2 linked regions of the Drosophila melanogaster genome follow. The protein of the gene in region 1 interacts with the protein of each later gene in a pairwise test. Each region holds a gene or a part of one and is shown in the gene's direction. Other genes may lie near its edges.

The links. Proteins that work in one complex are often made in the same cells at the same time.
Region 2: the proteins of CG42661 (region 1) and Lrp4 interact in a two-hybrid assay, tested with the Drosophila melanogaster proteins (one large-scale study listed by BioGRID).

Annotation. Positions count from the first base shown.
Region 1 is NT_037436.4:7,463,867-7,469,368, forward strand, and holds CG42661 (uncharacterized protein), read left to right. Parts: upstream 1-1,642; 5' UTR 1,643-1,685; coding exon of another isoform or gene 1,686-1,748; intron 1,749-1,803; coding exon of another isoform or gene 1,804-1,971; intron 1,972-2,034; coding exon of another isoform or gene 2,035-2,163; intron 2,164-2,220; coding exon of another isoform or gene 2,221-2,289; 5' UTR 2,290-2,313; intron 2,314-2,380; 5' UTR 2,381-2,419; coding exon 2,420-2,482; intron 2,483-2,534; coding exon 2,535-2,702; intron 2,703-2,759; coding exon 2,760-2,885; intron 2,886-2,952; coding exon 2,953-3,021; 3' UTR 3,022-3,209; intron 3,210-3,262; 3' UTR 3,263-3,321; intron 3,322-3,386; 3' UTR 3,387-3,452; coding exon of another isoform or gene 3,453-3,554; intron 3,555-3,611; coding exon of another isoform or gene 3,612-3,797; 3' UTR 3,798-3,857; coding exon of another isoform or gene 3,858-3,992; intron 3,993-4,053; coding exon of another isoform or gene 4,054-4,230; intron 4,231-4,279; coding exon of another isoform or gene 4,280-4,396; 3' UTR 4,397-4,942; downstream 4,943-5,502. Other genes in the region: CG42660 (uncharacterized protein), read left to right, coding at 1,686-1,748, 1,804-1,971, 2,035-2,163, 2,221-2,289; Tsp66A (tetraspanin 66A), read left to right, coding at 3,453-3,554, 3,612-3,797, 3,858-3,992, 4,054-4,230, 4,280-4,396.
Region 2 is NC_004354.4:15,909,211-15,913,898, forward strand, and holds the start of Lrp4 (LDL receptor related protein 4), read left to right. Parts: upstream 1-1,659; 5' UTR 1,660-1,778; intron 1,779-2,156; exon of another isoform or gene 2,157-2,444; intron 2,445-2,697; 5' UTR 2,698-2,861; coding exon 2,862-2,913; intron 2,914-3,568; coding exon 3,569-4,688.

The DNA of each region.
Region 1 (5,502 bases):
TAAGTACTCTTGTCTTAACCTATTTTTGGAAGAATGTTAACATAAAATTATATTAAAAATATGAATTTTCACTTTTGATAGAGTAGCACAAATCCCCAGTGATTTTTATTCCAATACTTTATTACGTTCTCAGCTGAACTGAGAATGATGCCAGCGATGATTGACACCACGCCCGGCAATAAATTTTTAATTTTCAATGCTCCCCTAGAGACTGATGCTCTGATGGACCCCTGTCCACATCCTTTCCTCCAGTGAGCTTGTTAAATTCAAATTAGAACGATGCCAGGAGCTGCGCTCTATGCGAGAAGTTGCCGCTGACAGCGAAGATAAATGACACAGAACTGCGATCGCAACAAATTAACCTTGTTAGAGGCTGCAGCACAGGCAAAGGCGGGGCCAGGACATAACTCCGGAGCAGTGGTAACGGCAAGGACTCCGGCCCGAGGACACCAGTTACAAGTGTATGTAATTTTTTATCGTCTGCGACTTTCGACTCCACTCTCCCACTGACGACGACTGACTTATGAATGGCGTGTGCCAAGTTGAGTCGAGACAAAGCACTGGAAGAAATTGTATGGGCTTAAAAATAATAATATATAGTTCAACAAAAAATAACTTATTTTTGTATCGCTAGAAATGATACAATTAGATTTATATGATTTTAGTATGATTTAGTAATGTGAAGGATACTTTAAAGATTCATTCAAAAAACTGTTTAGGTACCCCTAACCTGAGAACAAACATTGCAGTACACTTGAACTACATGTATATTTTTTAAGTGCCTTGAATTTCCTGCTACTGCCACTGCTTTGGAGTCGATAAATCAGTTTGTGTATCAAATTGAATTCACGAGCGTGCACATGACACCAGCCCACGCACATTTATCAGCCGATTCAGGCGAATCATGCGGAGCATGAACTTTAACTCCACCGGTTTTCGGCAAACCGCAAAATTTTAATCTCAACTAAGAGCTTACAAGAAAATAAAATCCATCGCCCGTTTGCATTATAAATTATTCATTACGAAAACGCAACCGCGACACGCCCACATTTTTTTTTTTTTTTGAGCCAAGTAAATGAACGCCTGCCGCCGACAGGCGCTCGTTTGCACCTAATTTGATTTTTAGTTGCTGCTCCTTTTGGTGGCGAGTCTGCGGTCGGTTCGCTTGGCATTCCATACCCAGCAGCAGCAGCTGCCCCACCCATATGGCATTTGAAGCCATCTCGCAGATTCTAGCTCACAAATACAGGCGCCCACACGAAGAAGGACTCGGCAGCGCATCCTGTTTTCTTTCATTCATTCCAGCGCGGCTGGCTGTCGAAAAAATGTCTGTCATGTGGCTAGAGAATTTTGCAGTAATTAATGGCAACTGTTTGATTAAAAAATTCCACAGCAGCTCAACATGCAGGGATGTGTACGGGTTTTAGTTCTAGTTTTCCACGCCCCCAAGCCGTTTTCCATTACCAAACGCGGTCAAAAGCTGCGATGCTGAATAAATCTATGCAAATTCCACAGATTTCTTAAAGTCCTTTTTCAAGCTCTTCGAACGTTGAATGAAGCAAAGAAGTATAAATTTATGAAAATAACCCAATTTATTTGTTTATTTAACACTTGAGAACAATGTCAATTGGATTACCATTTGCAAAAATCTAAATGTTAAATTTTTTATTTTCATCTGAGCTATAATGTGCATTTGCTCAACTCGTGTACTCAAAATCGTTCTTTTGGCATTCATACATCTTGCCGCAGTGAGTTGAATAGACACCCGTTCATGTCAAATTACTGTTGACGCATTTTTTTAAGGGATTTAATGGCGCGCAAATAGCGAAGGACATTACTTTGCTGGATAAACTGGTGGGTCACCATCATGTTATGCTTACTATAAGTCTAGCACTATGTGTTATCATACTAGTTGTTCTCTTAGTTGCCATTTTTGCTGCTATTCGTCATCATATATTGGCTTTAAACGTGGTGCGTAGCTTTGAATTATTCAAAAATAATTATTGTATTCAAAATATTGTACAACTTTTTCAGACGCTTGTTTTCTTGATTTTTAAGTGTGTAGCAAAGGGTATTATCGTAATCGTTTGCGTATTAACCGCAGAAACAGGTATTGAAAATACTGCCGCACATTTTTGGTTCTTTCTATGCTGGAAATTCACGGTGCGTATTTCATTTAATTGGATTGGTGATAAAATAATCTTAATTAATTCAAAATAGTGTTGCTGTATGCTCTTTAATCTATTCTTTTATATACGGCTAACAGAGAATTCAAGACAAGCTGACTAATTCTTATAAAGAGTATTGATTGTGGTAAGGATTTGTAAAACTTGTAAACTTTTCAGAAAATTCTAAACTTTTTTCCACACATTTGTTTTAGTTCTTCGAACGAAATATTTTCAAATTCTATCTTGACAGAATGTGCTTTTGTCCGACACTTGGTCTCAAAATTGTACTTTTGTTAGTAATACCTATAACCGCAGTAAGTTGGATGCTCATTTGATTGATTAACCAATTCAATATTCAATTGGCAGGGAATTAATGGTGCTCAAATAGCCAAAGATGTTTCTATATTGAATTTATTAAAGGGATACCATTATATTATGCTTATTATAAGCCTATCCCTGTCCGTAGTTATACTGGCGACTCTGGTTCTTTTAATATATGCGGCGATCTGTAATAAAATTCGAATTCTGAAAGTGGTTCGTTAGCATGAGGTTTTAAAAATCATTGAGTTAAATTTTTGATGTAATTTTCAGATGATCTTTGTTTATGTAGCCATCGTCGTGGTGAAACTGATAATTCTGTTCGTGTGTCTAAGTACTGAATTGAATCCTGACAAGACGACAGCCCATCCCATATTTATGATATGCTGGCTCCTTACGGTAAGGTTATACAGACATTCAAATTATATAACTATGTATTAACCAAGTTTTTCCGACAACTGAATAGTTCTTATGTATGGCCGTTATAATAATATACTGGCTTCGGCTACATGACCTTGCCAACGAAGACAATTAGACTGGTATTGAAATGAATACTATGAATACTATGAATACTATCTGGCATAAACGCAAAATATCGTATTACCTCCTCATTAGATCCGTCATTGTGATTTTCAGTGATTAATGTTAAGATATTAACTATGTCGAATAACCAACTGCATTAGAGCAAAAACGGAAACTCACTGGAAACTTCATTAATGAATTGTAAGTATCTGTCAACTTGGGATTTTAGAACTTAACATCTTGTCTTTTGTAAGCAATTGGAGTTAATACCAAAAGCTAGCTGAATTTGCAAATTATAATGGACATCGTATTGGTATTGAAAAACATAGTATCGCTAATTGTCAACCGAAAAAATTCTGTTTTTTTTTTTTAAAGCAGTTATACCATCGAAAGCAGTGTCATTTTAGGTCAAAAATATATATATTCGTATTTTTCGGATAAAATATGGTGGATAATGAGGAAACGGGATGCCTTCAAAGATTACTCAGCGTTGGAAAGCTACAGATTTGCAAGTTCATAATCTACTTTGTGTGGTTGGTCAATTTCGTAGGTAATATCATGGAAGCGAAGAAAAAACCACTACAAAGGTGTTCCCACCCACAGATTTTCAGCTGTGCGGATATTTACATATACTATTTCATACTGAAGGAACACATGCCTTGCTGGGATTGTTTGTTCAGGTCCTACATGATAATCGCTCTAACCGTAAATGCCCTAATGGCGCCGCTGCTGATAGTCGGTTTTTTCTTCATATATTCGCATTTATGCCGCGAAATACGCATTGTAATTGTTTGTAAACATTATTTTTAAAAACACAGCGATTGCCAAGATTGTATTTAAATTTTACAGTATGCCACAGTACTCTTCCTGGCAACATGGTTGCAGATGATGCTGACTATACTGTTTGCACAACAGTACCAAATTGTTGGAGATGTACTTCGAATATGGATGAATCGCAAGAGTTTGGAATTCTACGAAAGTCGCGTAAGAGTTTCGCAATAATATTATATTAAGTAGTAAAGTTACCCACTTCGTTTATTAAAAGTGCCAGTGCTGCGGAGTTTTGGGACCTGACGACTACAAGTTGGGCGATCTGAATATCCCAAAATCCTGTTACAAGAATGGCAGTGAAAGGGATGAGGACCTGTACCGATCAGGCTGCTCCACGCGCTCCATAAAGCCCGCGTCGCCCATCATCCATGTGATCTCCTTCGTAATTCAGGTGAGTAGTGGTCGGGTGTTTCGAATTCTAACGCTAAAAACCATTTTAGTATGTTTTAGTCATATGCATTGAGGTATTCCTTATTATCCTGTTAAGGAGCAAATCCCAACCCACAAGTATGTGGTCTGAGCGGGTCACCGAAAGGTTTGGTAGTGTAAAAAAGTGACTTGCAGTTCTATTCGGATTTGGGAAGCAATCCTAAAGAACATCTCTGAACTTTAGGGCTATTTTCCAACATTGCATGGAACTTAAGCAGCAGATTTTCATGTGAATTGCAATTTTGGGTGCGGTTTTCAATTCACATTGTACCGGGCATGAGTATTGGCATTCTGGCGGGCGAGACAAATTGGATGCTGCCGGCTATCGTCATATTTCACGGACTGCAATCAATAACGATAAACACTTGAGTCGCAAATCCAATGTCCAGAATCCTGTCCAACAACGGCATGCATATGGATGAGCCAATAAAGAAATCAACAAAGCATGTCGGGCGATTGAAAAAGTATTGCAAATACCCCGGATAGCTGGGGATTCGGACACGGAATTGGACTCCAATCCGGACAATATGCAAATGCAGCTAAGCAGAAAATATTCAAGGACGATCCAGCCCCACCCCCTTCAACAAACGCTCAAGTTTATATATTCATTTTGTGTCCCTCGTCCCGCGCATAAATTTTATTGTTGTCAACATTAAATTCTAGTCGTGAAAAACAATTTTGCAGCATTTGAAAATCCATAAAATATGCATACGAAATTGTCCGCCGGAACGACCAACTTTATGGCTAAATAGTTTGCTCCGGCCCACATCGTTAATGCCTTTTTTATGCGTTGTATTTGGGTGTTGGGTAAACTTTTTAGCCGCCATAACAATAACGGCAGCAAAAGCAACCACACTTTGGTCAAGCTGCTGAAATATCCAGTGCAAAGTTCATAGATAAAGGGAAGGGATACAAAGACGAAGTCGCAGGCGAAAAGGGTCATGTGGCTCATTAAACTTTGGCCAACAATTTTTTGTTGCACCCCCCAACCGGCAAAGACAAACAGAAAGTTTTGCACTAAATATTTGCGCCCTCGCAAAAAAAAAAACTAGGAAAACAGAATGAAAAGGGTTTTTGAGGTGAGTGGCCATGGTTTCCGGGGATTTAAAATGGTTGCAACAATTCTTAGCACACATACGCCCCATTAAACGCTAGAAAAATTATATGTTAAGAGCTAAAACAAAAAGGGTGAAAGTGTTTCTTTAAATTGATGTTATTAAATCGTTTTATATGG
Region 2 (4,688 bases), on another chromosome or scaffold:
GATATGGGAACACTGCGTACAATAGGAAATGATCGTACATAAGTACATACATACATATGTATGTTGCAACCTTCTTTTCACATTTAATTCAAGTATTTGCTCAAGTATGGGCACACTGCGGGCATATGTGTTTAGTCCTGTGGGAGCACTAGAGTATAGCATATAACCCTAATACCTTGACTTATTCATATGCACATTACATTATTTACATATTTTTTCGACCTGCTCAGAAATAACTCGTTCATTTCACACTATGTACTTATGTACATGTACATGCATGGCTATGTACGATCAGCTCGAGAACAAAAGTTTTCACTTACGCCTATTCTCGGAATTCTGGTTATATACAAACGGCACAGCACTTCATGGAGTAATGTAAATTAACTATTAAAAAAGTATACTCGAAGTTGCACACGTTTGCCACTTAACCGGCGTGGACAAAGCATTTATGTGAACCAGATAGTTACACCTTATGGCAGAAAAAAACTAGTTCAGCATGCCGTCATCGGAGTTATATCTCTTGCTCACTGCGATCAGTAAAACATATCGATCTTCATCGGTTATTAGTATAGTACTATCCTTTGCAATGAAAGGCAAGCGAAATACGTTGAAAAGGGGAACCTCCTCATTGCGTTTCCAACTTGTTGCTTGTGAAATATGTTTCACTTAGGGTTGTTATTAGAACATTAAAAACTTATAATCCATCAATGGGTTTGATGGACTATAAAAGGGTCTTACCCTTATAATAAAAACAAAGTTCTTCTAATTGCACTACTTTTTTTCTTAAATAAGCTTTTTGTTATACGATCTTACGAACTTACTCTTGATGTGAATTTCACATCACTCAAGTGTTCCAATTACTCCAGCAAAATCAAAAATACTAAAATATGCTAGGGCGTTGCCACCCTGCATTCATGTAAGGATGGTACTGACAGTCGATCTTTCGGCATGTCATACATTTAACGATCGTGGTCCACGACAAAATGGTCAGTAATGCAAAACTCACTGGCATCACCCTACTAGGTTGAATCGTGATCAAAACACCCTTATTAAATTCCGTTTAAATGGCCGGAACCTGTTGATTAAATGGCAGGTTGTTCGAAAGAGTCGTAAATAAATGAATGCTGCACTTAAAGATCCTGTACCGCTTACAAAAAGCATTGAACTGCTGTTATTTTCTTTAGGGTTGTACTTAAACAGTTTTAGATGACAAACAGTAAGACATGTAAGAAACCTAAAATAATTTCACTAAAAAAATTCTAAAAGCAATTGTAAAAAAAAGATATAATCTTTGCTGCTTTGTTTAATAATTAATAAGATATTGATAAAAGGGTAAAAAGCTTTCGCGACTTAGGAATGCCAGGTTAATGATAAACAAAAGTAACCTGTGGATCCCTTCCGAGAAATGATGTACCGATATATGTACACATCGAGATTAAAATGGACTTCCATGTCCATTGTCCTAATTTCGGTGCTGCAGTTTTTTGTTGTTTTTTAGGAAAAACTGCAGCGTGGAGAATGCTTTCAATGATACAATCCTTAATTGGGTTCGCATTTTGCTAACTTAGTTGTTGCAAATTAATTTACCCTCACTCTCGGCACACAGACAAAAGCTCGCTTCCCAGAAAAAGCTTAAGGATTCAGAGAAAACTTTGAAACAGCACACGAGAGTTGAGTGGAACACTCGCGTCCGCCGACTTCGCTTTCCGTCAGAGGGATGCTGTAATCCCCTGAAATTTTATATTCGTTATATTCCCGAAGAAGACAAGAGACGTGCTGTACGAAAATAATTTTTCATTCACGTAAATTACCCACACAAATGTGTGTGGAACAATTAGCTGATTCAATTGTTCTCGCCCGCCACTTGCTAATTGGAATCGAAAAGTGTCAAAGTTTCAGGAGGTTCTTTTTGTTTAATAATACTGTGTTTAATATGCATATGTTCGCGTGTGTGGTGCTCATGACATACATACATAAATGCCAACAAAGTCCCAAATATCGCATTCATTTGCGAGGGGACTTCGCAGGACGTTATAAACACCTTTATACCACATTCTGGAAATGCCAAACGCAGTGCCAAGCCCACGCAACTTTATAATAGGATATACATTGAATGAAGTAGTGCCATGAATGCCGTGCCGCATGATATTTGATCCATTCACGGAGTCGGTCCTGGACCTACAAAGTCACAATAAACCTTCTGTTTAGTGAGACAGCGTAATGTGAAAAATGTTGAGGACGTACAAGCCAGGCATTTAAATTTATTAACTTACAATAAACATTTATGTAAATCATAAAAAACCCAGTGACACAATAAGTAAATAACAAAGACCAGAAGTAACCAAGTGCTTACAAATAAGATGAATAGAGTAAAATCTATTGAGTGACACCTACGCAAAGAACGAGTGTGCTTAAGTGTAACATATACACAACATATACATCAGGTGGGCGGGTTTTGCGCATAGTAACCCCCCTCCCCCAAGCCCAAAACTTTGCATTAACTTTATATTGTCCAAAACCTAGAGACAAAAAATCATTGAGTGAATTTCATTATTTTAAAAGTTACGCCCCGCCCCCCCTCAAAAAAAGAAATATATATATAAAACTCTAGATCCGCCTTGGTAGCAAAATATGTTATACGCAAGCGCTCAATACGAAAACCTCCTTCTCTCTACCTTCCTCTCTTTCTCTTAACAGAATCGGAACAGCAGTTAGCAGAAAGCAACAGCACAGCAGCAGCAGCAGCAGCAGCAGCATCCGCTTAGCAGAGCAGCAAATGCTTCGGAAGCAAAAGCAGTAAAGCTCGCAGCGCTACTACGTTACGTGCCTATGAGTGGGCGAGTTTGTGTACATGTCTGGACATGTATTTGACAGCCTTTCCCTTTTGGCCATTGGTATGCTTCGTGTGGCTCTGTAAGTATTGTCCTCGCAACACAGTTTGTCCTGGGGGGAGATGAAGGGTATCTCTCTGTTAACGCCCACGATGCGCTCAGACCAACAGCACTTTTTGCTCAATGAAAACTTGCACACGAAAACTAGCCAATTGAGAAAATTCCCTGCTCAAGAGGGCTTAATTGTAATACGAATTTCCAGGAACATGCAATCTATAATATGTATGTGCAAGGCATCAAAGAACATGCATCGAATTGAATGAAACTTTTTTATTTAAGGATATTGCTTGCATACAAAACGTGTCCATGACTATGTACATATGTATGTATGTACATATGTATGCATGTTTTTGTAAAGCTGTTTTTGAACTATTGGAAAACCTTTTAACTCAAGACATGACCTTTGTATGTATCAAATCAGAAGCATTGCATTCAATGCTCCTTTCCTATGAAAAGTGTTGTATTTTCCAAGAACATTGCAGTGGCGTGGGAACAATAGCAAAACGTGCCTTTTGCTATCTGCTTTGAATGAGAAATAGGGGGGTTTTCCTTTAACTACTTGTAGTTAACATTCAATTCAACTTAACACGACTGAACTTGTATGATAAGGCAAAAGCCTTTGCTGCATTTTGAGCTAATTAGAAGTTAAATGGTATCGATTTAAATCCTTTGACTAGGTCTCGGTCTCGGCGACTTGACAAAAACTGCTGTGAAACGTAACGCGCCCCACTATGGAATTCACCCGACAAACGCACTGGGTCGTTGGGATTGGAATAAGCACAAGCAGCTGCACTCGGATGCCAGAATCGGACATTTAGAGGCGGGCAACGAGTCGCGGGAGGATCAGCTGTCGGAGGAGCTGAGCAAGTTCGGCGAGAAACTCTTTCCCGTCTCCAACTATCCGCCGTATCAGCAGAATAACGAGGATAGCCAGGAGGTGCATCATAGTGGAGAGGGAAGATTGCATACGATGGAATCGTCTGTGCCATCCAAGACTAGAATATCCGGTGGCACAAATTCAAACGATACTCCCAAGTTCCGGAACATTGGCGCCCAGAGGGGTAGAACCGAAATAGCCGGCATTCGCGAAACTGATCGAATCAGTTCACGTGGTCGAGATGGTTTTATAGGTGGTCCGAGTAACAAACAGAAGCCATTTAGAGTCAATCTGGCCGTTCTGGTGCAGGACGATCCCAGTCAACCGGGTGAGACATACTCCAATTGCCAGAACTCCAATGAATCCGACGAGAACTGCAATCCCGAGGAGGATGCAGTGCCGAATTTGCAAAGGGATTGCGAGAAGACCGGGATACATGTGATGTGCCCGCGAACCTTTCGATGCATTAGCAAGTATTGGCTCTGCGATGGAGATGATGACTGCGGTGACTACTCGGATGAGACGCACTGCGGAGCCAGGACGAATTGTACAGATGATCAGTTCGAGTGTCTCAACGGATTCTGTATTCCACGAACCTGGGTATGCGATGGCGAGAACGATTGCAAGGACTTCTCCGACGAGACCCACTGCAATCGCACCACCTGCACGGATGAGCACTTCACCTGCAACGATGGCTATTGCATCTCCCTGGCCTTTCGTTGCGATGGTGAGCACGATTGCAATGACAACTCGGATGAGCTCAAGTGCGCGGCGGTCATAAACAGCTGTCCGGAGGGCGAGTTCAAGTGCCGCGGCGGTTTGGGTGGAGCAGGTGGTCCCAGTGGCCAGTGCATTCTCAATCGTTTCCGCTGCGATGGCGACAACGACTGCGGCGACTGGAGTGACGAGGAGAATTGCCC